7 linked regions of the Xenopus tropicalis genome follow. The protein of the gene in region 3 interacts with the protein of the main gene of each other region in a pairwise test. Links are inferred from orthologs where the notes say so. Each region holds a gene or a part of one and is shown on either strand. Other genes may lie near its edges.

The links.
Region 1: the proteins of prpf31 (region 3) and ccndbp1 interact in binary tests that used the Homo sapiens proteins (3 or more experiments, as listed by UniProt). The two-hybrid records come from large-scale screens. The link is inferred for Xenopus tropicalis from reciprocal best matches to the Homo sapiens genes PRPF31 and CCNDBP1.
Region 2: the proteins of prpf31 (region 3) and pde4dip interact in binary tests that used the Homo sapiens proteins (3 or more experiments, as listed by UniProt). The two-hybrid records come from large-scale screens. The link is inferred for Xenopus tropicalis from reciprocal best matches to the Homo sapiens genes PRPF31 and PDE4DIP.
Region 4: the proteins of prpf31 (region 3) and tmcc2 interact in a two-hybrid assay, tested with the Homo sapiens proteins (2 studies listed by BioGRID). The two-hybrid records come from large-scale screens. The link is inferred for Xenopus tropicalis from reciprocal best matches to the Homo sapiens genes PRPF31 and TMCC2.
Region 5: the proteins of prpf31 (region 3) and khdrbs3 interact in binary tests that used the Homo sapiens proteins (3 or more experiments, as listed by UniProt). The two-hybrid records come from large-scale screens. The link is inferred for Xenopus tropicalis from reciprocal best matches to the Homo sapiens genes PRPF31 and KHDRBS3.
Region 6: the proteins of prpf31 (region 3) and tsga10 interact in binary tests that used the Homo sapiens proteins (3 or more experiments, as listed by UniProt). The two-hybrid records come from large-scale screens. The link is inferred for Xenopus tropicalis from reciprocal best matches to the Homo sapiens genes PRPF31 and TSGA10.
Region 7: the proteins of prpf31 (region 3) and cdca7l interact in binary tests that used the Homo sapiens proteins (3 or more experiments, as listed by UniProt). The two-hybrid records come from large-scale screens. The link is inferred for Xenopus tropicalis from reciprocal best matches to the Homo sapiens genes PRPF31 and CDCA7L.

Annotation. Positions count from the first base shown.
Region 1 is NC_030686.2:18,727,218-18,731,386, reverse strand, and holds the start of ccndbp1 (cyclin-D1-binding protein 1), read right to left. Parts: upstream 2,801-4,169; 5' UTR 2,719-2,800; coding exon 2,661-2,718; intron 1,347-2,660; coding exon 1,290-1,346; intron 351-1,289; coding exon 271-350; intron 180-270; coding exon 98-179; intron 1-97. UniProt on the Homo sapiens protein: May negatively regulate cell cycle progression. May act at least in part via inhibition of the cyclin-D1/CDK4 complex, thereby preventing phosphorylation of RB1 and blocking E2F-dependent transcription.
Region 2 is NC_030680.2:118,189,242-118,192,741, reverse strand, and holds part of pde4dip (myomegalin), read right to left. Parts: intron 2,258-3,500; coding exon 1,973-2,257; intron 1,257-1,972; coding exon 1,125-1,256; intron 417-1,124; coding exon 297-416; intron 1-296. UniProt on the Homo sapiens protein: Functions as an anchor sequestering components of the cAMP-dependent pathway to Golgi and/or centrosomes.
Region 3 is NC_030683.2:104,952,575-104,956,074, forward strand, and holds part of prpf31 (U4/U6 small nuclear ribonucleoprotein Prp31), read right to left. Parts: intron 2,369-3,500; coding exon 2,308-2,368; intron 1,448-2,307; coding exon 1,364-1,447; intron 1,158-1,363; coding exon 1,060-1,157; intron 457-1,059; coding exon 350-456; intron 266-349; coding exon 96-265; intron 1-95. UniProt on the Homo sapiens protein: Involved in pre-mRNA splicing as component of the spliceosome. Required for the assembly of the U4/U5/U6 tri-snRNP complex, one of the building blocks of the spliceosome.
Region 4 is NC_030678.2:72,958,888-72,962,387, reverse strand, and holds part of tmcc2 (transmembrane and coiled-coil domains protein 2), read right to left. Parts: intron 3,250-3,500; exon of another isoform or gene 3,084-3,249; coding exon of another isoform or gene 2,934-3,083; intron 1,158-2,933; coding exon 891-1,157; intron 1-890.
Region 5 is NC_030682.2:144,623,310-144,627,578, reverse strand, and holds the start of khdrbs3 (KH domain-containing, RNA-binding, signal transduction-associated protein 3), read right to left. Parts: upstream 2,801-4,269; 5' UTR 2,558-2,800; coding exon 2,473-2,557; intron 1-2,472. UniProt on the Homo sapiens protein: RNA-binding protein that plays a role in the regulation of alternative splicing and influences mRNA splice site selection and exon inclusion. Binds preferentially to the 5'-[AU]UAAA-3' motif in vitro.
Region 6 is NC_030678.2:112,840,046-112,844,323, forward strand, and holds the start of tsga10 (testis-specific gene 10 protein), read left to right. Parts: upstream 1-1,478; 5' UTR 1,479-1,625; coding exon 1,626-1,679; intron 1,680-3,797; coding exon 3,798-4,013; intron 4,014-4,278. UniProt on the Homo sapiens protein: Plays a role in spermatogenesis. When overexpressed, prevents nuclear localization of HIF1A.
Region 7 is NC_030682.2:39,660,410-39,664,480, forward strand, and holds the start of cdca7l (cell division cycle-associated 7-like protein), read right to left. Parts: upstream 2,801-4,071; 5' UTR 2,695-2,800; coding exon 2,671-2,694; intron 1-2,670. UniProt on the Homo sapiens protein: Plays a role in transcriptional regulation as a repressor that inhibits monoamine oxidase A (MAOA) activity and gene expression by binding to the promoter.

The sequences.
Region 1 (4,169 bases), on a different chromosome or scaffold from region 3:
CATACAAATTACCAAAGAATGGCTGATAAACCTTGAATATACGGACTGCTGAGAAATCACACCGTACCAGATACTAGTCCAGGACACTGCTTCTCACCTTGTTCCTTTGGGAGAGAATAGTACACAGTGGCATCTGCTAAGATAGCATTGAGAAGTCCATCACATAGCTTCTGGCTGCCCTGGGGTAAGGGAAATAGGGTGAAATAAGTTATGTGTTATCCTGAATAAAGATTTCACATAGACCGTTTGTCTGTATGGGATATCACTTACCTCTTCTGAAGGCAGAGGTGGTTTCAAAAAAGCCAAACTCAGCTTTGTCGCTTCTTGAGATGTTGCTTTAATTGAATGTCCTATGAAAAATATAGGAAATAACTGTAAGAGACACAAATAATATGTATATAGCAATTTCCTCACTTCTATACTTTGGGGGACTCAAAGATCTTGAAGAATAAGAGTATAAGAATATTAAAAAAATAAGTGGTGCTTTTTTTAAGCACTTTTGCAATTTACATTAATTATTTCTTTCTTTCAGTTTCAGAAGTTTTTATTACCTACCAATATAATGAATTTTGTAACAGCAGCACCACCTGCTGGTCAGTTCCTGTAACTGTAAGTCAAGGAGATTTTCCTGTACAGTTACAGGAACTTTTTGCATTTTTTTTTTTTTAAGGCTCACAAACCCTTAAAGAGGATTTCCAACAAGTTCGCCTTCCCAGGTGCATGCCAGGAGATCAAGGGGACATTTAATTCATCTTTTTTGACCAGAATGACCCCGCCACCCACCCGACCCCTTCCCCCAAGCACGTGTAAATTAAACTTACTTTCAGTGCAATAAGTAATGACCTTGTCATTTGCATTATCTGCAGCGATTCCCTAAGCACTGGAAAATATATCATAATGTGTATTTTTTTTTTGTGTAAGACACTTGTGGAATGTGTCAGTGTTTACAGGGAATAAATGTTGAACAGATGTTCTGGAGATGATACAGAACCACACCTCGCAGCCTACTGCTGATAGCAGAAGGCTCCTACAGACAGTCAATGACAGAGGCAGTAGATATATAATTCTGCTGCCTTTCTAGAGTGCAGTGCCCTCTGTACACAAAAGAAAAAGCATTTACTCTCTCTATAAACTTAAACTAAAGCAGAAGGCGCATCCCTGTGTCACACTGTACAAAGCTACTTCAACCAATCATGTACAGGCACTACATAACAAATGGAAAATTCCTAGCAGACAATTTCTGTTTTTTATTCCATCATAACGTTACAAGCCTTGTGTCAGTTACTTACCCAGTGTTCCCCAGAAATGCTGTGCATTGAATTTCTCACTCTCTCTGGGTTCTCCATCTACAGAAACAAGGCAAGAGCACTCAGTCTCACTCTTAGGGGCACATTTACTAATCCACGAACGTCCGAAAAGCGTCCGAATGCGTTTGTTTCGTAATGATCGGTATTTTGCGACTTTTTTGAGCGCTCAATACGAAGTCGTAATGGCTATGAAAAAGTCGCGACAATTCACGAAAGTCGTAATGGCTATGAAAAAGTCGCAACAATTCACAAAAGTCATAATGGCTATGAAAAAGTCGCGATAATTCAAAAAAGTCATAATGGCTATGAAAAAGTTGCGACAATTCACGAAAGTCATAATGGCTATGAAAAAGTCGCGACAATTCACGAAAGTCATAATGGCTATGAAAAAGGCGCAATAATTCACAAAAGTCATAATGGCTATGAAAAAGTCGCGACAATTCACGAAAGTCATAATGGCTATGAAAAAGTCGCGATAATTCACAAAAGTCGTAACGGCTACGAAAAAGTCGCAAAAAATACGAAAAAGTCGCAAAAAATATGAAAAAGCCGCAAAATGTTTGTTTTCCAATCCAAATTTTTCGGATACGTGGATTAGTAAATCAGCCCCTTAGTCTGGACCTGAGATCTATCCTTATATTCACCATAGGCTCATACATCATATATTCCCAACAAAACAGACATATTCATTAAAGAGAATCTAAATTCAATATCTAACTGCCCCCATGAAATTCTGGCTGTCCCTTAAGGGATTATTATTATTATAATATCATAATTAGCCTCTTTTATAATTAAACCAGGATTTTGCATAAGCTTGAATAGAGTTTTGGTATTTTTACCCGGTCAGATCAGATGGATCGAGTTCATTTACAGCCCTTGCCATACATACAACATAGGTCATGAAATGAATTCCTGAAGAAAAATGACCAATTCAACCCCTCCAACTTTACTATTTGGACAGTGTGTTTCTAACGTCCCTATATGTTGTTAGACTACAATTCTCAGAATATAATTAAGGGTTAATACACTCTATAAGCGTTAATCCCTTTTAATTCAGATATATAGTGCTACCAATGCCGCCTCCAGCATATATACATCGGAACAATATGCCAAGGTGAAAATGTACTTAATATTTGGTTTCAATGTTGACATCCCTTATATATGTGAATACACTCCCTCAACTAGGGAAGCCAATCTTTCTGCTCTGCTTCATAATTGACTCCGGCTGCGCAATGTAATGCTGTCGACCTACAACTCCCACTTTCATATAACGCAGCAACAAGTAAAACCCAGCTGGTGTCACACTGTCGAGACCTTAAAAGTGTACAGGTGAGTGACTGTCTTTGTAATCACCTCGAAGCTTCCCCAGCACTACTCTTAGATTTTCCGCCAGGTTCCTGATCGACTCCATTTTCGGCGGACCCAACACCGCGAGTCTGCTGTAGCAGGACGAGACTGTGACAGCGTTGCACCAGAGCGCCACTTCCGGTAAGGAAAAGCTTGTAAACTTCCGGCACAGTTACATCGCTTTCTCTTCTCCGGTTGTATAAGCAGAAACTAAGCTCTGAAGCGAAGCGCATAATAAAAAAAACATTGAAACTAAAATGACGCATCTTTTGCTTGACTTCTAATAGATAAAACTAAGAATATGCATTTTTTCGAAGAAAAAGACGCCGAACATAGTCCCCTTTGCAGTAAAAATGAAGCTTGGTGCTAATTTTAATTGAGGTTAATAAAGTGATAAAGATAATTACCAGTCACTAGTTATTAGTGCAGACTTGGCCCTGGCAGCATGCCAACCTCGGGCCTGAGCCTTCCCACAAATCTAGGTCTTAAACTACATGATTGCCTTTTATCCTATACAAATTATGAATGTACCAGTGAATTATACTCCTCTAGATATAGAAGGATTATGCTTAAAAATGTTGTGTTTCTGACTGATTTATTGAGAAATTCCACAAAAACCCCACTGGCCCCGCCCATCTGCATACCTCCCAACATTTGAAAAACGAAAAGAGGGACAAAAAGATTTGGCGCACGCAGCGCGGCAATTTTGTGGCCACGTCCCAATTAACACACCCCATGTTTTTCTAAAAATACTCCTTTGTGCTATACCCTTATACTGTACTACCTAAGGAAAACAAAATAGCAACTCCTACATATAAAATACAAATATAGAGAGAAGGCAGTCAGTTATAAGTGAGTTATAACTATCTACCAGTTTTGCCCCCCCACACAGGGGAGACAGTACCCCCCATACACAGTGCCCCCCAGGTCCCCCATAGACAGTACCCCCCATAGAAAGTGCCCCCACTTTACCCCATAGACAGTGCCTCCAATTTCCCCCAGACAGTACCCCTCATACACAGAGCCCCCCATACACAGTACCCTTTATACACAGAGCCCCCCCATACACAGTGCCCTTCATACACAGTGCCCTTCATACACAGAGCCCCCCATACACAGTGACCCCATACACAGTACCCTTTATACACAGTGCCCTTCATACACAGAACCCCCCATACACAGTTCCCCCCATACACAGTACCCTTTATACACAGAGCCCCCCATACACAGTGCCCCCCCATACACAGTGCCCCCCATACACAGTACCCTTCATACACAAAGCCCCCCATACACAGTGCCCTTCATACACAGAGCCCCCCATACACAGAGCCCCCCATACACAGTGCCCTTCATACACAGTCGGAGCGCTCAGCTTAAGCCCTCTCATCCCGCTATCGCGGATCGCTCTATGAATGTCCCGCATTTCCGTAATCTATTACGGAATTGCGGGACATTCAGGGAACTATCCGGGACAGCGGGATGCGCTATAAAAAGCGGGACTGTCCCGCTCAAAGC
Region 2 (3,500 bases), on a different chromosome or scaffold from region 3:
CTCTCAGGAAAATATCAAGACCAAGGCTTCTACTTTATACCTGCACAATTGTGCTGTTGTGCTCCATTATGCACACCTATTAAGAGACTGATATTTAGGGACGTTAAACTATATGTGCCCTAATGACAGTATTTAAATATAATGCTCTGATTCAGAATATATGTTGTTGTACCTACAGTTAGGGTACACAGCCGATACTCTGTATCAGCATAAATGTGCCTGCTACTATTGCTTTCATTTTTATTTTTCAAAGGATGTTGCCAGTTGTCCCCCCAAACACACAGGAAATCCCTTACCTCTGGAGATCTGATTGATTCGGACTTGTAAACTGAGGTTCTCTTCCCTGAGTGCTCTGTTCTCATTGGACAGTTGGGGCAGTGACTCCAAACCATGGATGTAAATATTAGTGGGGGGACCTGGAACATAAACAAAAGATTATGATGGAATGCAGGGGAAAATGCAGTTGTTTCTAATAAAAACCCTATCCACAACATGTAGCAAATGTGAATATATTGAAATAGAGTTAAAATTGGTTTATATTGTGCATATTCCTTTTTCAGCAGTTACTATTCAATTACAGGGGAGGTGTATTATATACTCCTATCTTCTGGAGCACTGTGCAGCCTCTAATTCACTCTTATACTCTAGCGGGAATCCCCAACCTTTTTCTTCGTTAGCCACATTAAAATGTAAATATTGGGGAGCAACACAAACATGAAAAATGTTCCTGGGGGTGCTAAATAAGGGCTGTGATTGGCTATTTGGTGGCCCCTATGAAGTCTGGCAGCCTACAGGAGGCTCTGTTTGGCAGTGTACCTATTTTTTAATGCAACCAAAATCCTCCTCCAAGCAAGGAAATCAAAAATAAGAACCTGCTTTGAGGCCACTGGGAGCAACATCCAAGGGGTTGGTGAGCAACATGTTGCTCCTGAGCCACTGGTTGGGGATGACTGCTTTAGAGTATTTAGAAAGCATATCAGCATAGCTATTGCATCCCGACTGAGATACATATAAGCCTCACAGCACACATGCAGTAACTGGGACACATATCATACAATTTGCCAAACATCACAGAATGTTTCCCTAGCAGAGACACAAGTGCTGTCTTCTCATTTCTTCCTTACCACTCCCTTTAGTTGCAGCTGTGAGCTTGTCTTCTAGCTGTGCCCTCAGGCGATCATTCATGTGGATGGATTCCTCCAGGCTTTGACGGAGGTTTCGGATTTCAGCAAGATGTTCCTCCAATAGATCCGAGCCTATTATCACCCAAAGAAGATGAGGAAATTTGGAAAATCAGCCATGTAAACTTACTACATAAGCATTGCTATCTTGATATATTTTCCTCGAAAGATTGTTAGCTTTATAATGAATCAGCTTTAAACAGGAATTAAAGGAAAACTATACCCCCAAAATGAATACTTAATTTTATATTGTGATAAGTGACCTATTAAAGAATCTCACCAAACTGGAATATAAATATATCAGTAAATAGTGCCCTTTTACATCCTTTCCTTGATCCACCATTTTGTGATGGGCTGTGTGTTCCCTCAGAGATCACATCACCAGAAATAACGCAGCTCTGACTGTAACAGGAAGAAGTGTGGGAGCAAAAGGCAGAACTCTGTCCATTCATTGGCTGATGGGGCCTAGCATGTATGTGTGCCTTGGCTTGTTTGTGTGCACTGTGAATCCTATGATCCCAGGAGGGGCCCTTAATTCCTAAAATGGCAATTTTCAATTTAGGATAACCCAATAGCACATGCTACTAAAAATTTATATTTTTCTGAAAATGGTTTATTTAGATGAAGCAGGGTTGTACATATGAGCTTGTTTATGCAATATATTTTTATAGAGACCTATATTGTTTGGTGGTATAGATTTCCTTTAAATCCCTGTGGACCCTGTTTGTTTTGTGGAGATAACTGTATATGAAGAATGATCAGAGAAAGCAACCAATCACATGTGCCATTACCTGTGAGTTTGCTAGCAGACTGGTACCCAGAAGATCCAGAGGAAGCATCTCCATGGACATTTCCATTCACAGGTCTGACCAAATGTTGCATGTCCCACAACCCACTGCTGTTTGAGAATCCTGTCTCTGCTGCCCTGAAACCTGGGGCATTCTGTGTTGCTGTTGTACTGGGTATGTCATGCAAAGGTTGGGGAAAATAAGATGGGAACACGGAGGAGGTGGTTGTGTCAAAAAAACTAGTAGAAGCATGGGCTGGTCTTATAGCTGATGATGCCATAGGCATACCTGCAGGGGGAAATGTAGATTATATCAATTTTACACTGATGAATTCTGAATATTTTTTTTAAGAATTCCTTTAAATCTGCAAACATATTAATCATTAATATATAACAGGTTAATATGCAACTCATCCCTGTAGATGTCTGTGTTATACATAGCACTGTTAATTCTTACCTTGCATGACCACTCTCAATAATTAATAGCCCTAGTCATGTTCTCATTTTCCATACTTAAGCATAAAATAGCCACAAATGATTTCATTACAAGCTGAAATAAAAATCATACTGGCCCTGTATTTAAGAAAATGACTCTTTACACTAAATACGTGTAAAACGCTATATATTACTGTCAGTAGTAGTTAGAAGGAGATTTTCCAGGCAGAGAACTATCACTAAAATTATGTTTCTATTTAAAAGGGCTGTTTACCTTTAAATTAACATTTAGTATGATGTAACAATAATATTCTGAGACAGTTTGCAATCTGTCTTCGTATTTATTTTTTCTTTAGCTTTAATTTCACACCTCTTCAGTTTGGTATTATAGCACCTTTCTGGTTGCTAGGGTCTTATTTTCCATAGCAACAGGGCAGTGGTTTAAAAAGAGATAATAGTATAATAGAGGGACTGAATAGGTAAGTAAATATATTCCTACTCAAACAATATGCATTTTTAATACAATCTGAGCCTGCCTTGTTATTGCTGTTATATTCTAGAAGCAAAAAGATAGTGAACAAACGGCTCATATACAAGAAAAAAGATAAAAAAAAACAAGCCAACACCATTTTAAGAACACATGTTAATACGTACAAAGTTAAGGCGTTAACTGACACAAAGCAGCAGACACAAACATTGGCAGCACTCCATGCTCCATACGGTATACATCATGCAGGTTTCCCAAACTTCTAAACACCTTAGGATGCCAGAGATGTCCCTCAAATCAGTAAAAGCTGTGGGAGGCTGGCTAAAGCTGCTGATTTGTGAATGATACAGTTGCGTGTGGTAGGGCAGATTCAGTTGTTTGCCATGGGTGTTGTCCGGTCAGTGTTGCTGACCCAATGCTTATTTGCGATTAGACACAGGGAGAACTGTGCTTCTAAAAATACCATACACCATGTACGTGATCCTACAGTTATACTAGCATTTTGGACCAATTTGCTCACCTTTGCTGCTGGAGGCATAAGCCTAACACTAGTGCAAGGGAGTCCATGTATTACTCACGTGCCACCTCTACCCTCACAGGCGCAACTTGA
Region 3 (3,500 bases):
CTGCCAATGGTTTACAGAACAGATTTTTTTGTGCAGAAGAGTGAAGATATAAAACAATCTTGGCTAAAATAAAAACAAACACTATGACACTTTACCCATGATCTTGGCAGCAGTGGAGGCCCCGACAATGATGGAGAGGTTAGGAGCAATGAATGACATACGAGATTCCACATACTCATAAATTCTGTGTTTGGATTGGTTGAGTTCTAGCGCCATATCACACGCTTCTTCAATTCGTTCCAGTTCTTCATCTGTTAATTGCTGCCTGTGTAGATCAGAGGAACTTACTTCTTATTTTCATCCCAAACACTGAAAAAGTTATAGTATAGTAACAGATATATGAACTTACCCCTGAGTTGTGGAGGCTGTCACACTTACAACCATGATAGTTGCATTGGTCAGAATTTGCTGAAGATTCTCATTGTTTTTGCATTTATCCAGATTGTTCCCTAGCTCCTACAACACCCAAATAAGATGTTATTATTTTTGATATTTATATAGCGTAAACATATTCAGCAGCACTTTACAGAGATAATATACATTCTCATCAGTCCCAGTCTAAGGTCCCTATAAGTTTCAGGCATAGTAGGGTCAATTTTATCAGGAACCAATTACCCTCCTTGTATGTCTTTGCAGTATTAAAAGAAAGCAAAGTACCTAGGGGAAACCCACACAATACTGATGATTTTGTTAGGCCCCAAGCTAACCTAAAAACTGAAGAAAAATAAATGTGAAAGTTCATAAAGTGGTGCCATAAGTAGTTTACTGATGTCACCTAATGCTAAGTTTATTGTCACTTCATGTACCCCATATATGTTTATGGTTCATACATTTTTCATTTAACATTTTAAGAAAAGTTTGGGTCCAGCTTAATAAATCTTTATACAAATTACCTTCTCTATTCAGTGTATGTTCCTACATACTGTTATACTACACACTGTGTATCCAGACATCACCATTATACCATAACTATATACACACATGCACAAAATACAATCCCCCTTACTGAAAGACACACAAACTAACCACTTAGTATCCTCATGCACACAAATCACCTACCTTCACAGTCCTTATATAATCCAAAGCATTAGGAACTAAGGACTCCAGCTCAGGAAACCTCTTGGAATATTTGTCCCGAATAAATTTGTGAATGATATCTAAGAAGATATAATATAGGTTTTAAGAGCGTACACTCCCATATATACTGTACACAAGTGCTATAGATGTTCTAACATAGTATCTGCAGTTTCCTATACAAAAGGGTTGTACATAAATGTAGCACTTATTTTACTAAATCATCACCTCAGATTATTGAAACATTGCACTTTCTACCAACACGGAGAATACAGTCAGATGCACTTACTTAGCTCATTTTCAATCTCCACAGTCAGATTGTTAGCATCAACGATAACTTTGTACTCTGGAGCAGCTTCAACAGGGCCCATTACTAAAAAAAATAGAAACAGAATAAAATTCAAATTACCAGTGCAGTCAAAACTACATTCTTGCTTTGTTTCTGTTTGAGAATCTATATGCAATGTTGCTGTTTGAACCAGTTTACATCAATAGATCACATATATTGCTAATTTCACTGGGCTAAATGGAAGGTCGATGAGTAACAGCATTCATTCATTTACATAAACGCCTCCTCGGGAAGCTAATCATAAAACAAACACAGGCATATTTAGTCTGAATATGCTTATATTTTCCAGAATTCTTACTTGTGTCACTTTAATGAAACACAGCAGTATGCCAAACCAATGAGTTCATAGAGAAAGTAATGAAATTAACCACTGTGCCAATTTATAACTATACCTTTTTATATGAAGAACTGGCAATATACAATAATTTGCAGTCTGCCATCATTCATCTCTTTTTTAATAACTGGGAAAACTGCAGTTTAGATTTAAAAACGAAGAACACTTTTTTGAAAAGATGTGTAATAAAACATGTAATATAAAATACCAATTAAAGTCTAGCCTCCACATCAATCTGTTTTGTATACCAGGGTTATGGATATTTCAAATTTCAGGCATGAGTGAGGCAGAATAAGTCATCCCATTCAATAACCATTAACATCACACCAAAACATGAATTATTATAATATCTTTCCCTTAAAGCCACACAAACTCATGCAGCTGCCTTTCACTCTACAGCACAATACAATGTGAGTTTCTTTATATTGCAATCCTTTTCGGTTGGTAACTCTTTGTCTCTGTTATTAACAGTCCACATGAAAATTATTTGAAGATATTTTAGGTACTCTGGCTTGAAATTTTGGAGTTAATGCCATGATTTAAATGATACCTTCAGAAGCCTTTGGTTGCTTTTTGATGTATCCGTCAATCTTTAAAAGGATTTCTGAAAACTGAAAAAATGCATCATTTATTTCACAATGTGGTTATAACAGACTATATAGACATTTTGCTCCATCATTTTAAAAATTTTGTTTTCATTTATAAATATATATCAGAGAAAAAAATAAAACCCCACACATTAATATGTGTTAGAACCACTTTTTGCAGCACAGAAAGCACTAAGGGGCAATTTTATCAAAATGAGAGATTAGAGCTCACCAAAGAAAAATTAAGACACTTTCTATTCATTTTTATGTGATTTTTAGATTAATAGGTGAAAGTTAAAGTTCACCACTTGATAGATGCACTTACGAAAATCCCATAGGAATGAAGAGAAAGTGTGTGAATTTTTCTCTGGTGAGTTCTAATCTCACATTCTGATACATCTGCCCATAAGTGTTTGTGGGTAAGTAGGTGCCAGTTTTGTACACTGTTCCATTCATCAGCCATTCTTCCAGGCAGATTAGCTATAGGTTTTACAAGTTAGTAACTTGCCAACAAATGTAGCCCTCAACTGTAAGATGATCCATACCTAAAGTGAAGTTTGTTGGTGGCAGAATCCTGCTGTGGGCCTGATTTTCATCAAAAGAAACTTTGCATATTTAATGTAGAGCAGAAGGATGTAATGAGGGGAGGGAGAAACAACGCTCAGTTAAAGAACGGATATTGATCCAATAGAGAATCTATGGCAGATATCTGATCTGTGTCATCTGAGTACAAAGCTGGCACATACTTAACCCATACATACTTGCTATTGCTGCAAAATGCTTCCATAGAATATCAGAGTGCAAGGAAATAGCACCCCTACCCTTAATGCGGTGGTGGAAAAACCAATAGTAGAGACATCAGTGGACAAAAAAAAAAAAAAAACAACTGAAAAAAAAGGAATGCATGTTTTTGCAAGCTGTATCCTTATTGACCATTAAAGGCATTAGTCCATTTGCTGGGTATCCAAGACCTGTCTCGCATACATTGGAAACAGGTTGTGAATTTATCCTCCTACTTTTTATCTCACGATGTTTTGACAAATTGCTTATTTGTGCATATAGACCTCTTTCATATGGACTTAAGCACTATAAAAGATCACTTCTTACTACTACACTGTTTTTTGCAGCAATGTACCAAAGTATTTTGAGGAGGGGT
Region 4 (3,500 bases), on a different chromosome or scaffold from region 3:
CCTCCTCACACGCTCGCATTCAAGACTTTGCAAGGTCTGCCCCCCTTCTCTGGAATTCGCTCCCACAAACTGTCAGACTTTCTCCCAATCTCTCTGCCTTCAAGAGATCTCTAAAAACACATTTATTCAGAGAAGCTTACCCTAATCTAGTTTAGCAACACCCTGTGCCACACCTCTCACAACTCTGGTAATGCCCATTCCCACACCTTGAGTCTTAACCCTTCTCCTTGTAGATTGCAAGCTCTTTTGGGCAGGGCCCTCTTCACCTCTTGTATCGGTTATTGATTGCTTTATATGTTACTCTGTATGTCCAATGTATGTAACCCACTTATTGTACAGCGCTGCGGAATATGTTGGCGCTTTATAAATAAATGTTAATGTAATGTAATGTAAGAACATCATGCAAGCACTTGGCATTCAGTTGTCACTTGGAAATATGCAGACTTTGTTTCCAAGTGTCAGTCACTTGCACAAGCTTTCATGTGATGCCACATTTTAATACATGCGTTACTTGACCTTAATATTTGTACTAACACAGATTCTTTGAAGGCAGGTAGAATTTTATAAACCCTGCAGCAAAATAAACTTTTAATATGAAAATTCAACTGTACTGAATTCAGTGTTAATGTTATTTTTAATTATTCATAGCATCAAATGTAGCGGAAAGATTGTTTGTATATTTCTCCAAGTCAAGGTTTTAATGGATTAAAATAATTCAATTTAAAGTAAAAAATGCATTCTTTTGGCCTTGTGGTTTACTTTTTCTATTTTATTTTTGTTTGTCAGTCAATACCTTAATGCCCAACATATTTGCCTGCTCCTACTTACATATGCTTCAATGGTGCACAGTTTGATATTGCTTAAAGAGTATGAAGAAGCTTATACTGTACCTGCTTGATGCGAGAGGCCTGTTGGCGGTCTGCGTTATTTGCCAGTTTCAGATATTCAGCCACATTGTCATCTCTTGCTTCCTGCTCAATTTTGATCTGCTCTGTGATTTTTAGGATCTTCTGATGCAGATGATCCATGGCTGCCTTTGTGCGTTGAGGGTCAGGTGCTCCCTCTGGGACTTCCAGGCTGATGTTTCCCTCTGAGCCTCCATGAACTGTGCTGGGGGGCAGCCCTAGGGTGCTCAGATCCCCTTTGTCGAGTTGTTGCTGATTAAAAGAAGGGGCAAGTCAGAAACAAAATACAAGTTACATAAACAATATAAAATAAAATCTATGACAGTTAATACAATTAATATTCCACAGCGATGTGCTAAGAACATACACCTTCGTATTAGCCCCATGCCCAGTAAAATTTACAATATAAATCTCTGTCACATATACACACTATGATCAGGAGCCAATAAACCCTTCTGTATGTTTTTGGGAGAGGAAACTGGAATACCCAGATCAAACCCTCACAAGTACAAAAAAAACATCCAAACTGATTGCAGATAGCTAACTGACATCGAACCACAGTGCTGCAAGGCAGCAGCTCTTAACACTGGACTACTGAGTACATTTAACATCACATCCAGATCCAATAAACAAAGAATGCTTCTGTAATAACTCCTACAGTTGTGCCCGTAGATGCTTGTTGTGCCAGTCCACACTCTGATGCTTTACATTCTGTTAGTGCCCACCCACCACTGGGTCTATGAATGATTGTTAACTTTTATAATGTGATGCTCTCACACTGATATGTTGGGGCAATTAAACTTTCCCTTTAAGTCCTTCCACTATTTTCTACTTTAGTGAAACACTTAATCTGCCAGGTATGCGCCTCATCTCATTACCCATAAGAAGCAGTATTACAGTGCAGATTTGCATATGCATAGTTTTTAATATCCCACTACTTGCAAAACCTGATGCTTACAGAACAGTAAAAGCAGCTGGACTGCTGTGGCATAGCATAAAAACAATGTAAAGGCATATTTAGATTTGAATGCATGTCAAAATGATATAACCTAATAGCCACCTGAATTTTTACAAGTGACAAAAGATTTCAGATAATGTTTTAAAGTGATACCTATTAGGTGAAATTGGAGGGGGTGGCCTGTGGCAGAATGATGAAAAAAATATGTGGTGGTCAAACCTCTTGCAAACCAACAAATTCAAAGCTATCACACTACCTGGCTTAGTGTTTTCTTCATGTGCATGCCACATTTTGTCATTATTCGTCAGATAGCAGCTTTGCAGCGAGGGTGTTTAAGTCAACACTGGGGTTACTGAACTAAAACCATAAGTAATGTGCAGAAAGACAGAAAAACAGTGAGCTGAGGAAATTATTGCAAATTTTAGTGACACTCGGAAATAAGGGCTGATGTTTCTAAACTTCCCCTTTTTGCCCTGTCCTGAACTGAGGAGCATGGATTGGTGAATAACAACCTATATTACCCCCGTCCCTCGTGTAACACAAAAAGCCACAGTCTTGGTTAACTTAAATCTGTTTTTAGCAAATGCCCTATTTTTGTCTAAGAAACCAACCTACAGAATAAAATCAGGCAAGCTTTTATGCAAAAACATAGATTAAACAAATTATTTGCATCCTCCACTATTTCTGTGTTAAACATCGTTTTTTTTTCTTTATTAATAGCAACTGTTCAACAGTCCCTGCACCAGTGGAGCTTACAATCTAAGCTACCTATCACATTCACCAATTTACCTGCCTGTATGTTTCTGTAAACATTCATCCACCCATGGCATGGTTTGAAAAAATACAGGTTACATGCCACATAAACTGATGGCTAATAATAAATAATAGTAATAGATGTGCCAGTTTGTCTACCACTGCCATAGACAAGCACATTACCACATTTAAAGTTTTGACAGAGATTTGCTGTGTTAATCACTGTATAACCTCAAATATACCTTCTATATAAGGTGATAACGTCAAAGATAAATCAATTTTTGCTAAGCCTGTGGCCTGCGCCTCTCCATACTTACACTCACTCCTAGCAGAGTGTTTACAAGTTGCATCCTCCCACTTGCAGGCTCAGTTGGGTAAATTTCAGTTAACTGGACATCTAAAGGGTTGGTACACAGGGCCTGTCCTAGTACCATTACAAAAGGCAACTCATCCTCTCCTTCCCTCATTTTGACATCCGTATCAAGGAAGTAGCAGAGAAATAACAGAATATTGGTGCAGCAGAGTAACAGGAATAGCTGGGAGAGTAAGAGTGGGAGGGAAGTGACTAAGGATATCAGTATAAAGAGAGCTGCAGAGAGAGAGAGAAAGGGAATGATAGACTAAAGGGGGATTAAAAAATAATTAGGGTATACAGTATAGAATAAAGTATGGAGGACATTATGTAGGCACAAAAGAAGCTGTAAGTAATAATAAATACAACAGGAAAGAGGGAACGCAAAGGAAAATGAATGAGAGGACAGGAAAGGAACAAATAGACATAAAACATGGATCAAGCTGACCAAAGCTTAAAGTACAATTTGGTTATGTATGGAATGGCTAAGGGAAAGCTAAAGGAAGAAGGGTGCACCTACAGTAAATGCAGC
Region 5 (4,269 bases), on a different chromosome or scaffold from region 3:
CCTTTCCCGGGGCTGCATGTTGTCCTACCCTGAGGATTCCTATACTGAAACCAGGGTAAAAATAAAGCGATGACAATACCTTGGGGTGGGCTCTCTTCCACCGAAATAGAGAGATGGAGACTGCTCTGTAGGTGTGACTGCCACGGTCTCTTAGAGAGAGACGGAGAATGCTATATATGTGGCACCTATTGTGAGATACAGCGGATCTCAATAGAATTAACATGAGGGAAACAGCTGGCGTTGGATCTTCCCAGAGGGACTCGGGGCGAGCTACAATATGCTATAGATACATTAGAAGGTGGAGTGAGTGTAGTTTTAGAACGCAGCCCCCCACCACCACCAAGAGCATTCTAAGTACAAGACCCCCAGAGGGAGCTATAGTAGTTCAAATCCATAGCTTCCCCCTAGAACAGGTAATGACAGATTTAGGTCAGGTACCAATACCACAATGTGATTTTTTTGCATTTCAGAGACGTTATCCTATGTACCCACCCCAACCAGAGTGAAAGCAGAGCCTGGAAACATATTACCCCCCCACCCTCTCCAAAAGAGCAATTTAGATTTCAAGATTCCAGTCCTTCTACCCAATCCCATCACTAAGTTTAGCCAAGGGGTTGCTCTTAAAACAAAAAGACTTTCTAGATATAATCCTGGCCATCAAGAAGAGAGAGCCCCCCCTGCCCCAAGCATTGTGATTTTTGGAAGAGGTTGAGAGATGAGTTCCCTAGAGAGGATAAGGTTATAGGGGAGCTTTAGGGAGCGCAGTCCCCGGAGTATGAGCAGCTTTGACTTGAGGGTAGAGGTAAAATCCTTGGGTGGTATTGTACATTGGGGGGTGAATTCTTAGTATAAAGGGCTTGGGGGTTCTTAACATGACTGTTTGGGAAGCTGAGGGACATGTTCCATAGGAGGTTGTTAAGGTGAATGTGCTTTGGAGAATGAACATTGATTTACCTTATTCTTCAGAGATGGATGGATAGGTAGATTAGATAGATAGATAGATAGATAGATAGATAGATAGATAGATAGATAGATAGATAGATAGATAGATGGATAGATGATGGTGAGGGTACTTTACTGAGTAGGACCAATTTTAGGAGAGGAGGAAGAGATGATATGTCTCAGGGAAGCACTTCCAGTGAATGAGTTCCCTTGGGGGGGCAGTAGAGTACAAGGAGGCTGTCCCTGGGCAGAGGGTAGGAATGAATGTACCCCAGTGGGGCAGTTCCAGTGCATGAGTTCCCATGGGGGGCAGTAGAGTACAGGGGGTTTGTCCCTGGGCAGAGGGTAGGAATGAATGTATCCTAGTGGGGCAGTTTCAGTGAATTAATTCCCTTTGGGGGGGCAGTAGAGTACAAGGAGGCTGTCCCTGGGCAGAGGGTAGGAATGAATGTACCCCAGTGGGGCAGTTCCAGTGCATGAGTTCCCTTGGGGGGGCAGTAGAGTACAGGGGGGCTGTCCCTGGGCAGAGGGCAGGAATGAATGTACCCCAGCGGGGCAGTTTCAGTGCATGAGTTCCCTTGGGGGGCAGTAGAGTACAGGGGGGCTGTCCCAAGGCAGATGGTAGGAATGAATGTACCCCAGTGGGGCAGTTCCAGTGCATGAGTTCCCTTGGGGGGGGGGTAATAAAGTACTGGGGAGCTGTCCCTGGGCAGAGGGCAGGAATGAATGTACCCCAGTGGGGCAGTGACAGTGCATGAGTTCCCATGGGGGGGCAGTAGAGTACAGGGGGGCTGTCCCAAGGCAGATGGTAGGAATGAATGTACCCCAGTGGGGCAGTTCCAGTGCATGAGTTCCCATGGGGGGGCAGTAGAGTACAGGGGGGCTGTTCCTGGGCAGAGGGCAGGAATGAATGTACCCCAGCGGGGCAGTTCCAGTGCATGAGTTCCCATGGGGGGGCAGTAGAGTACAGGGGGGCTGTTCCTGGGCAGAGGGCAGGAATGAATGTACCCCAGTGGGGCAGTTCCAGTGCATGAGTTCCCATGGGGGGGCAGTAGAGTACAGGGGGGCTGTTCCTGGGCAGAGGGCAGGAATGAATGTACCCCAGTGGGGCAGTTCCAGTGCATGAGTTCCCATGGGGGGGCAGTAGAGTACAGGGGGGCTGTTCCTGGGCAGAGGGTAGGAATGAATGTACCCCAGCGGGGCAGTTCCAGTGCATGAGTTCCCATGGGGGGGGCAGTAGAGTACAGGGGGGCTGTTCCTGGGCAGAGGGTAGGAATGAATGTACCCCAGTGGGGCAGTTACAGTGCATGAGTTCCCTTGGGGGGGCAGTAGAGTACAGGGGGGCTGTTCCTGGGCAGAGGGTAGGAATGAATGTACCCCAGTGGGGCAGTTCCAGTAAAATATACCCGGGGGGGGAATCGCACTGCATTCTGTACCCCACAGGATAAATATACCCCAGAGGTCACCCCCAGTGCAAGTGTCCCCCATAATATAACAATATAATACCCCGGGGGGGGCAATAGTTCCTACCTTCCTTCACCATCCTGAGTGCGTGAGTGAATGACGGATCCAGCGCGTCCTTCTCAGCCAGGAGCTGCGGGAGATACTTCTCCATACGGGGGTAGGGGGGTTAATACTCCGGAGAATCCAGCGGGAATCCGAGGGCCAGTCCGGGCGACCCAAAGGGGTTGGAAATAGTCCGCGGCAGGGGCAATAGAGCAGCCCGTAGGGATCCCTGTCAGAGCGAAGTTCCGCCACAGAGAGTCACTGTCACTGCCCTCCCCGTACCCACAGCGTGCGGCTCCCACACAGCCTCCTCTCAGCCCGCCCGGCTCCGACTGACCCAGCAGCCCACTCACGTCTCCTTAAAAACAAACGGCTGCGCCAACCCACCGCTTCCCTCCCTTGGGCGGGGAACAAGCAAATTCCTCCGCCAACCCCGCCCATACACACGCCCCTTGTCTGTTCCCAACCAATGGTGGGAAGGAGTAAGTGACAGGCTCATTAATATTTAGCGAGTCTCCCCGTTGGTCGCTGTCTGTGGTGCTGAATGGGCGGAGCTGGGACTGACTGAATGGGCGGGGCTGGGACAGTGCGGGAGGGGCCGGGAGTACGTTACTGAGCCGCTGTGGGTGCGGAGCCCAAGCCGGGGCCCCTGCGATGTTCTGCTGCAGTCGGTACCGAACTCTCCCACATACAGTCCCGTTACCCGTTATACCGCTACCCTATGTCTTCCTTCCACTGCCCGGATAGGAACTAACCCCCCCTGTACCTTCTGCCCCAATTCTACTCTAATGCCTGATACCCACAGCCAATCCTCACACAATCTCAGTTCCCATGTTACCCCACTACTAACCCCCTGCTTCCCCATAGAACCCCCTGCCCCCCCCCAAATTACTGCCCCCATAGTACCTTCTTCAACTCTCTACCAAACTACAGACCCCCCAACTATTCCTACATCCCTGTCTCCTACACAAAGGGCACCCTCCCTGAATATCTGCCCCCATATAACCAATACACCCCTAAATCTCTACCAAACTACAGACCCCCCAACCCTCCCTACATCCCTGTCTCCTACACAAAGGGCACCCTCCCTGAATATCTGCCCCCATATAACCAATACACCCCTAAATCTCTACCAAACTACAGACCCCCCAACTATTCCTACATCCCTGTCTCCTACACAAAGGGCACCCTCCCTGAATATCTGCCCCCATATAACCAATACACCCCTAAATCTCTACCAAATTGTGGGACCCCCCCAACCTATCATAAATCCCTGTCTCCTACACAAAGGGCACCCTCAACTAATTTCTGCCCCCATATAACCAATACACCCCTAAATCTCTACCAAATTGTGGGACCCCCCCAACCTATCATAAATCCCTGTCTCCTACACAAAGGGCACCCTCAACTAATTTCTGCCCCCATATAACCAATACACCCCTAAATCTCTACCAAATTGTGGGACCCCCCCAACCTATCATAAATCACTGTCTCCTACACAAAGGGCACCCTCAACTAATTTCTGCCCCCATATAACCAATACACCCCTAAATCTCTACCAAATTGTGGGACCCCCCCAACCTATCATAAATCCCTGTCTCCTACACAAAGGGCACCCTCAACTAATTTCTGCCCCCATATAACCAATACACCCCTAAATCTCTACCAAATTGTGGGACCCCCCCAACCTATCATAAATCACTGTCTCCTACACAAAGGGCACCCTCAACTAATTTCTGCCCCCATATAACCAATACACCCCTAAATCTCTACCAAATTGTGGGACCCCCCCAACCTATCATAAATCACTGTCTCCTACAC
Region 6 (4,278 bases), on a different chromosome or scaffold from region 3:
GCATCATGTTTTAACAAATATTGGTATAATTTAACATTTTGACAATAAAAATATCAGCATGGTTTTTATTTGTTCCAAAATATTCTTTTTTGTTAATTTTGCTGCCTAATATTACTACGTGTTCTTCATTTTTTAAATTATGTATAACATTATGTGTAATTAAGTTTGGCCTAGTAACCGTTTGGCTTCACTCCTTGAAAAGAAGCATGTTTGAACTTGTACAGCATGGCAAGCCCCCAGCAATACAGATCCTTTGCATGATGTGTTTGTTTACCTAGTAAATGTAGTACTGGGCATACAAGGGTTCATTCACTACAACAGTTCTATACCAATTACATTTACGTATAGTCGCAAAATGGATTTCTCAGACACTTTGTTGGTGCAGGAATATAAGAAAGAAAATGTAAGTCCTAAATCATTTATTCACACTTGCTTTCTTTTATCTACTTGTTAGTAGTTGCTACTGTGTACATTGTGTATGCAGGGAGAGCTAAACTAAATAGTTAACTGCTTATGGTTTTGTGTCTGTAGTTACAGAAAAGGTTACAGAGAGTGTTTTCCACACAGCTTATGGGATGTAGTTATCAATAATTAAGGGGCAAATTTAACAAAGATTAGAGTGGGAATCTTGGAGGTTTCCTGCAGGATTCCCATATATTGATACTGTTTAGGATTTTTTGCAAAACCAATCAAACTGGCCTATTTATTCAATGGACCAATTTGATTGATTCAGACAAAATCAATGATTATCATTGTCCAAGCCTTCCGAAATTCACAATCTCAGACCACTAAAATAACAAGTGCTTTTATTTAATTTTTCAAGCAATACTTACAAAGGAATATAGAATTGGGGGTCCTAGGGATGCCAAATTATATTGTCAATATTGCTCTATTTTTGAACCTACAGCAGCTCTGATTCTTCACTAAAGACAGGTTGATACTTATTATTCCTAATAAGAATAATAATTTCAACCGGACAAAGTTGTATTATCAAATACAAATAAACTGATCCATTAGATCTCTATGCAGATAAATTGTCGAAGGAATTATTTCTCTTATTCTGTGCATTTTGTACACTTGCACCTGATTTTTCCTGTTAGGGTGATGGAAGGTCTTGTGGGGGGGGGGGGGGGCTAATATAAGTAAGGAGTATGGTGAAACCTCAAATTTTCACACCCTGATTTTAAGTTTTCCTTCATCTTCTACATCTTTTTTTTTTAAATCACTTTTCGCAAAACCTCAATTTTTTTGTAGTCCCACCAATATATAATGCATTTCCTTAATTTACATTTAAGGGATTTTACACAATTTTTTCTGTTTCCCCCATAAAATGCAATTTTACTGCAAACCTATTTAGCACTTTTTCTTGCATAAACCAATTTTGTTTATCCAGACTTGACCGTATGGAATGGGGCTGGGTCTAGGCTTTGGGCTAGTGAGGGCAAGAATGTGTGTTTACTAGAGGCAGCTTCCCTGGCAACAGCTCTGAGGAGGGAAGCCTAAAGAAAGTGCGGGAGTGTGCTCACAATGTGAATGGCAGGTTTGAAGATGCCGGGGGTGGACCTGTCACTGTAATACTTTCACAAACTGAAGCTGCTGCAGTGGCCACACCAGTCACCTAAATCATGGCTAACAAAAACCACGCCGGACACAGAAGGATAACAGAACTGCAGATCAAGGTACTCAGTGCATTCGAATTATAGAATCATGTTTTTCGTGATGCCTGTATGTTAATATCAGGGGTACAAAAGGGCTCACAAACAAAAGTAAACATTCTTAAAACATTTCTTAAACTCTTATCAGAAAGTACAAGGCAATTACTACAAGGGCCGAGCGGTTGCCTCAGTCCCCTGAGCAAGGTTAGAGTATTTCATTCGTTTGTAAAATGCGCTTTGAGCTTGCCATCCTGCAGCAGTACTCGGTTGTTATGGAGACAGGTTTGGCTGTATCTTCCCTTCCGGAACACGTTCTTATCCCTCTAGCTAGGAGGAGCGGGCTTTTCGGTTTTTTAACTCTTGATTTGCCCTCAAATTGCTGTTTAATCACAGAGAAATCCTGAGTACAGAAGAGGTTAGGCAGACAACTGGTGCTTGGTGCAGTTTCAGTAGCTTGCTGAAAAGTAGAGTCACTGCTGCCCCAATGTGCATTTGGTCACTTTATTTGTTTTATAATAATTGGTCATTTTTGTAAAATTGTCAAGGTAAATTGCATATTTATTGTACATCTTTTTATTATGATACTACATTGTTATATTGAAAGACTGCAATTCACTCCTACCAGGATTTGCCAGATGTTGCAATTACAGGATTCTGTTATGTTTCTAATGGATGTATACCTCTTTATGCCTGGTCCAGGGTTGCCAGATTTATTTTTCCAAACGTTAGTTCTAAAATCAGCCACTTTGAAAGTAGCTCAAAAATTACCCAACATGTGCCATGAAAAAAATTCTAAAAAAAATAAAAGTATATATGGGAAAACATGCCTTTTTAAAGTGTATAATCACTACCCAGTTGCTGGGAAGACTGATAATTCCCTGCCATCTGTGCCCAGCCCAGCTGGAAAGTATGTCACTATATCACTACAGAAATAGATTTCAAATGTTGCATTAACATATGGGTGTGTTATACTACAACTCTCAGAAGTCCCAAGATATCCTGAGAGTTATAGCTTTAGGGCCAACTGCAGAACTGCCCCCACATCATAGTAGAAAGTAATAGTACAATCACATACCCTACAGAGCAGGGAGCAGGTTGTAGCACAGACAGGTTGAGCCTGAAAGCAGGTTGAACCCTGGCCTGGTCTGTGCTTAGTACCTGATAAAGAGCACACTCTCATCACTGATTGGCAGGAGGGAGACAATTGATTCAATTCCAGCTCTGTCCAATGTGAAATATAAGCAGGTTTGCAAAGATTGGTAGTCAGTTCTTACATATCAACACAATGGAAGACATAAACACTAGATATAAATGAAATACAATTACATAACTGGACAAGTACATACATCCAAATATACCAGACCTCCCTTTTTAAATATAAAACAATAACAGTTTAGCACTGCCACTAAATAGTAGAAACTCACCAAGTGTGACATGGGGTCCAAGTGCTCAGATTCTAAGCTTGAAGGGTAACCAATGTCACAGAGTATAAACACTCACAGGGAGACCAATTAACAATATTTTGTTTAAAACATTTTATGATATATTTATCCTTTTATGTTTTTCGTACTCTTTTTTTTCTTTGCAATTCCTGGTCTCAATCTATGTGAGTGCCTCCTCTCTCTATATAAAAAGAGAGAGAAACAGAATCATTTTGAGTCCTTATAGGTCTTCTGTGGGCTCGAAACATTAATTTTGTTTCTCTGTACCTATATGTATAAAAATCCAATTTTAAACTATATTGGACTGCTGTATCCTGGAGGTTTGCATAGCAGTACCAATGTATGGGTCTTCCGTGGGCTTGAAACATTACTTATGTTTTTCTTTACCTATATGTATAAAAATCCAATTTTAAACTATATTGGACTGCTGTATCCTGGAGGTTTGCATAGCAGTACCAATGTATGGGTCTTCCGTGGGCTTGAAACATTACTTCTGTTTTTCTTTACCTATATGTATAAAAATCCAATTTAAACCTATATTGGACTGCTGTATTCTGGAGGTTTGCATAACAATACCAATGTATGGGGACACTGTTTCTAAGCTCTTATGATTTCCTGACAATGGACAGTACTGCTCTGCAAATTTTGTGAGAAATAAGGTTTTTAAATTTTGTTAACATTAATATTATTTATCCTTTAGATTGATGAGCTGCAAAAAACAAACCGAGGCCTAGAAAAGCATATTGAACAGCTACATGAAAGCAAGGAGGTTGCCAGTAATCAGGTGGATATCCTAACACGTAAGAATGAGCAGTTGTGTGAAGAGCTGACCGAAATAGACAAACTAGCAGAACAGCTTGAGAAAGACAAAGAGCAGCTTTTGGATGTTGCAGAAAAAGAACTGGAGGATGCAAAGGTGGATACACAAATTTTGTATTTAAAAAAAGCTGTAAAAAATGCTGTAAAAGACATGCATTGACTTGAAAATGCAGATATGGTGCCTTAAAATCAATGGGCCCGATTCACTAAAGTCCGAAATAAGGAGTGCTATTTATAGCATGCGTTAAAAATCTTATCACTTCTTATTTTTCACTCGATTCACTAAAAGGACACTTGTCATAATTAAGAAGCGATGTTCTTGCGTTAACGCGTGCTATAAATAGCACTCCTTATTTCAGACT
Region 7 (4,071 bases), on a different chromosome or scaffold from region 3:
TCTGCTAAAACACAGGTAGAGACCGTTATCAGTAAATGAGCAGCATTGTCTTTTTTAGTAGCTGTGACAAGTAGCTGCTACTAGTAGCTCTTCACCCTAAGAAGAGTGCTAAACTCAGTTACTAGTTGGTGGTGGGGCATAGGTAACCCAGTTACTAGCTGGTGGTGGGGCATTGGTAACTCAGTTACTAGCTGGTGGTGGGGCATTGGTAACTCAGTTACTAGCTGGTGGTGGGGCATTGGTAACTCAGTTACTAGCTGGTGGTGGGGCATTGGTAACTCAGTTACTAGCTGGTGGTGGGGCATTGGTAACTCAGTTACTAGCTGGTGGTGGGGCATTGGTAACTCAGTTACTAGCTGGTGGTGGGGCATAGGTAACTCAGTTACTAGTTGGTGGTGGGGCATAGGTAACCCAGTTACTAGTTGGTGGTGGGGCATAGGTAACCCAGTTACTAGTTGGTGGTGGGGCATAGGTAACCCAGTTACTAGTTGGTGGTGGGGCATAGGTAACCCAGTTACTAGTTGGTGGTGGGGCATAGGTAACCCAGTTACTAGTTGGTGGTGGGGCATAGGTAACCCAGTTACTAGTTGGTGGTGGGGCATAGGTAACCCAGTTACTAGTTGGTGGTGGGGCATAGGTAATTCAGTTTACATAGCTAGGCAGAATAGTGTATATAAAATAGCAATCAACTGCTATGGTAATGGCCCCAGTGCCTTACAAAGGGCCATTTTTATGCTCACATATAGAAAACCGAGGTTACCACAAATTATTGACAGGCAGCTTAATTTTCTAAATGGGGAAAACATCAACCAATCCTACATGAACCAAAAGCACATGATGAGCAAGCTGGGGCATTCACTCACTATGCGCATACTTGTGCCCCAACGTGGCCTTCCAGTGTAACTAAGGGGCTTTTTTGGGGAAAAAAAAAAAAAGCATACTGTTTTCCTCTTCCCGGAGTCAGTCTGTTAGCCCGCACCTCTGATGGGTAAAATATTTTATTATTAAGGTGGCCACAATTGAAAGATTGTCAGATCCGCCACTAACCTTCAGGGCTGAAACAGGCAGATAAGGAGGTAGAAACAATAGGATTTCTACCTCCTTCTGCCGATTCAGCCCTGACGGCAGATTTTGGTCAGGTGTCTTCTATGGCGCCCGATCAAAATCTTTTAACTGGCCGATCGGCGAATCGTCTGATATCAGCAGCCTCCTGCCATATCGGTCAACTCAACGACTTGCCATACACGCACCGAATATCGTACGAAACGAGGTTTCGTATGATATTATCGGTGTGTGTATGGCCAGCTTTAGAAGTGGTGGGTAAACCCACATGGGGAGGAAAATGGGATATGTCCTTGCTTCAGAGAGAAGCAAAATGGATCAGGGGGCTAGAGTAATTGCAGCCAAGGGATATGAACAGTCCTACGGCTCTTACACAAGTGTTCTTACCTGCAGTCCCCTGCGCTGGAACAGGAAGAAATGCAAAATTTGCTATTAGTTTGTACTCACTGGTGCGTGGGCACAAAGTGTAGGTGAAACACAAATTTGTTTTTGTTGTTTTCTTGCATTCCACGGTGTACAAACTAATAGAAAATGCAGGGTTGCGTGTCCATCCTGTAACAGCCCTGGTGTGTAACGGTGGCCATACACAGGCCCATTTCAGCTGCCTATAGCGGTCCTTTGGACCTACCTGCCCCTGTATGGGCACCAACCAACATCTGGCCTGAGATCAGCCACGTCTCCATCACACAGATTTGATTCTTCTGTCAGATCGAGAACCACATCGGCTCGTTAATGCGGCCCCTTAACCACCAGTGCCTACGCCCCCCGAACCACCAGTGCCTACGCCCCCCGAACCACCAGTGCCTACGCCCCCGCCGCTTTCACTCCATTGTTTGCCCAGAAAGCTCCAGATTCCTCCCATAGTCAAATTTAAGCATTTTAAAAATGATTCCCTTTTCTCTAGAAATAAAACAGCACCTTGTACTTGATGGTAACTACACTGCATGAATCAATGTCAGTGGTAAGGGGGCCATTCTTATTGTATTTATTTCATGTTTATGTTTCGAACCAGGCTTGTGGGCACAGGGTGTGCGCTCCCATGTGAGGAAGTTTTAGGGACCCCCCCCCCCCCCCATATCTCCTATAAGAGCGGCCCAGGCAGCAATGCCCAAGCAGTGGGGCCAGTAACATTCTGCCAGCGGAATTCCCTCCTCCCCTGAGTAGTTTTTGTCCTAAAAATAAGAATACATTTATAAGGTAGGTGATTAACACTTTAGTTGCATCTCTAGTATTTTCCAGGTCTTTGACGAAATCCACAACATGAAACCACACAACTCCCAGAAGCCCCCGCCAGCCGCAGTGCACTCGGTATAACGCAGGCGGCAGGGCGGTAATGCGCTCCCAGCGCTGTATATAACAACTGTATATAGCTGTATATAACTTTATATAACTGTATATCAGTATAGAAACAAGGCGCAGAGTGTAACCCGGAGCCGCCGCTCTGCTCATATCCCGAAATGCACCGCGAACATCTGATGAATGGGCAGCGAGCGTGTGAAGGTGGCGCGAAAGGCAGAAACGCAGCGACAGTGACACAACGTGCGACCAACTCGCACTCTCACAGCTCAGCTACACAGAATGGGGAGCAGGTGTACGCAGCCACCTCACCTTCACTCCTGCTGCCGGCTCCATGCTTATTCAGCTTCACAAGGAACAACGAGGCCCCGCTATAACTCGCACACAGCCGCCCCTCTGGGATCCCGAGTGTGCAGGAAGGGTGCAGCGTCCAATAGCAAAGCACTCCCACAGCTGGCAGCCTATAGCAACAGGGAGCGCAATGTAGCCCCGCCTCCTGCCTGGCCAACTCTTGGCAAATTTCTTATTCTCTGTAAAGAAGCAACTTAATAATTATCAGTTTAGAGACGTGCTAGTCTGTATAAAGGAATGAATTTTATAATACTAACTATAACTACGAGTAAATCGGTGTTAGTGCACAATTGTATTTGTTATCGTTTATCCCATTGATTTGTTGGGCAGAGCTGTCACCTCTTCTTTATTTTCGGCTATAGTCTCTGGTTTGTACATTTTTCCTTTGAACCGTCCCTTGTTCTCAATGGAGAAAGAATCTTAAAATACTGGGGGCTGCCAGATTCTTGGGCACTCCCCAGTGACCCTAACACCATTCCCCCATGCCACAAAGTATTATGCTCTTAAGACACAAACTTTAAACCTTAACAACCCCGCACAACACCTCACACAACATATATGCATGGCAACTAGGATTCATATTGCAGCCCAATGGAAAGCGAACTCGCTATCTATCAAGAAAGTCCTGGACAAAACAGAATATATACACGCCATCAAAGCTCTTAAATACCAACTGGAAAATTAACAGCTATACCTAAAGATATGGGATACCTGGATACTAAATAAAGACCCTCTCTCAAACACAAGGCTATGGGTAGGACTCCCGTAAACAATCTAAAAACAATAAATAAGTGAAGGAAACACTGAACCTATTAACAATGTTTAACTTAATATGGAGACCTAGGGCGTAAATTGTTATACTGTTCCTCTTTCCCCCCCCCTCACCCTTTTCCCCCTTCCTCACCCTTCCTCCTCCTTCCTCCTCCTTCCCACCTCTCCTTTTTTGTTGTATACTATAACTCTGAACAATCACAAGGACATTAAGCCTGATAATGTGCCTAATATACAAAATGTTACGCATGTAAAATTTGAAAACAAATGTGATAATGAAACATGTAAAAAATCAATAAAAACAAACGTTACAAAAAAAGGGGGGGGTCATTGGCCTAAACAAGTTGTTCCATTCTGGGGCCTTTAGGAACTCCCCAATAGTGTTCCCAGGGCTAAATTTTGGTGCACAAATCTGAGTGAAAACACAAATTACTTTTCTGACCCACTCACTCAAGTATTTGTTTCTAAAAATGTGCACACAAGATATTTTTTATTGCACAGAACCTAAAAGAAATTAGACAATGTATAGCTTCGCCCCAACCCCCCTCGCAGGGCCCCCCATCCAACGTCCTTCCCCAAGCGCGTAAAAAT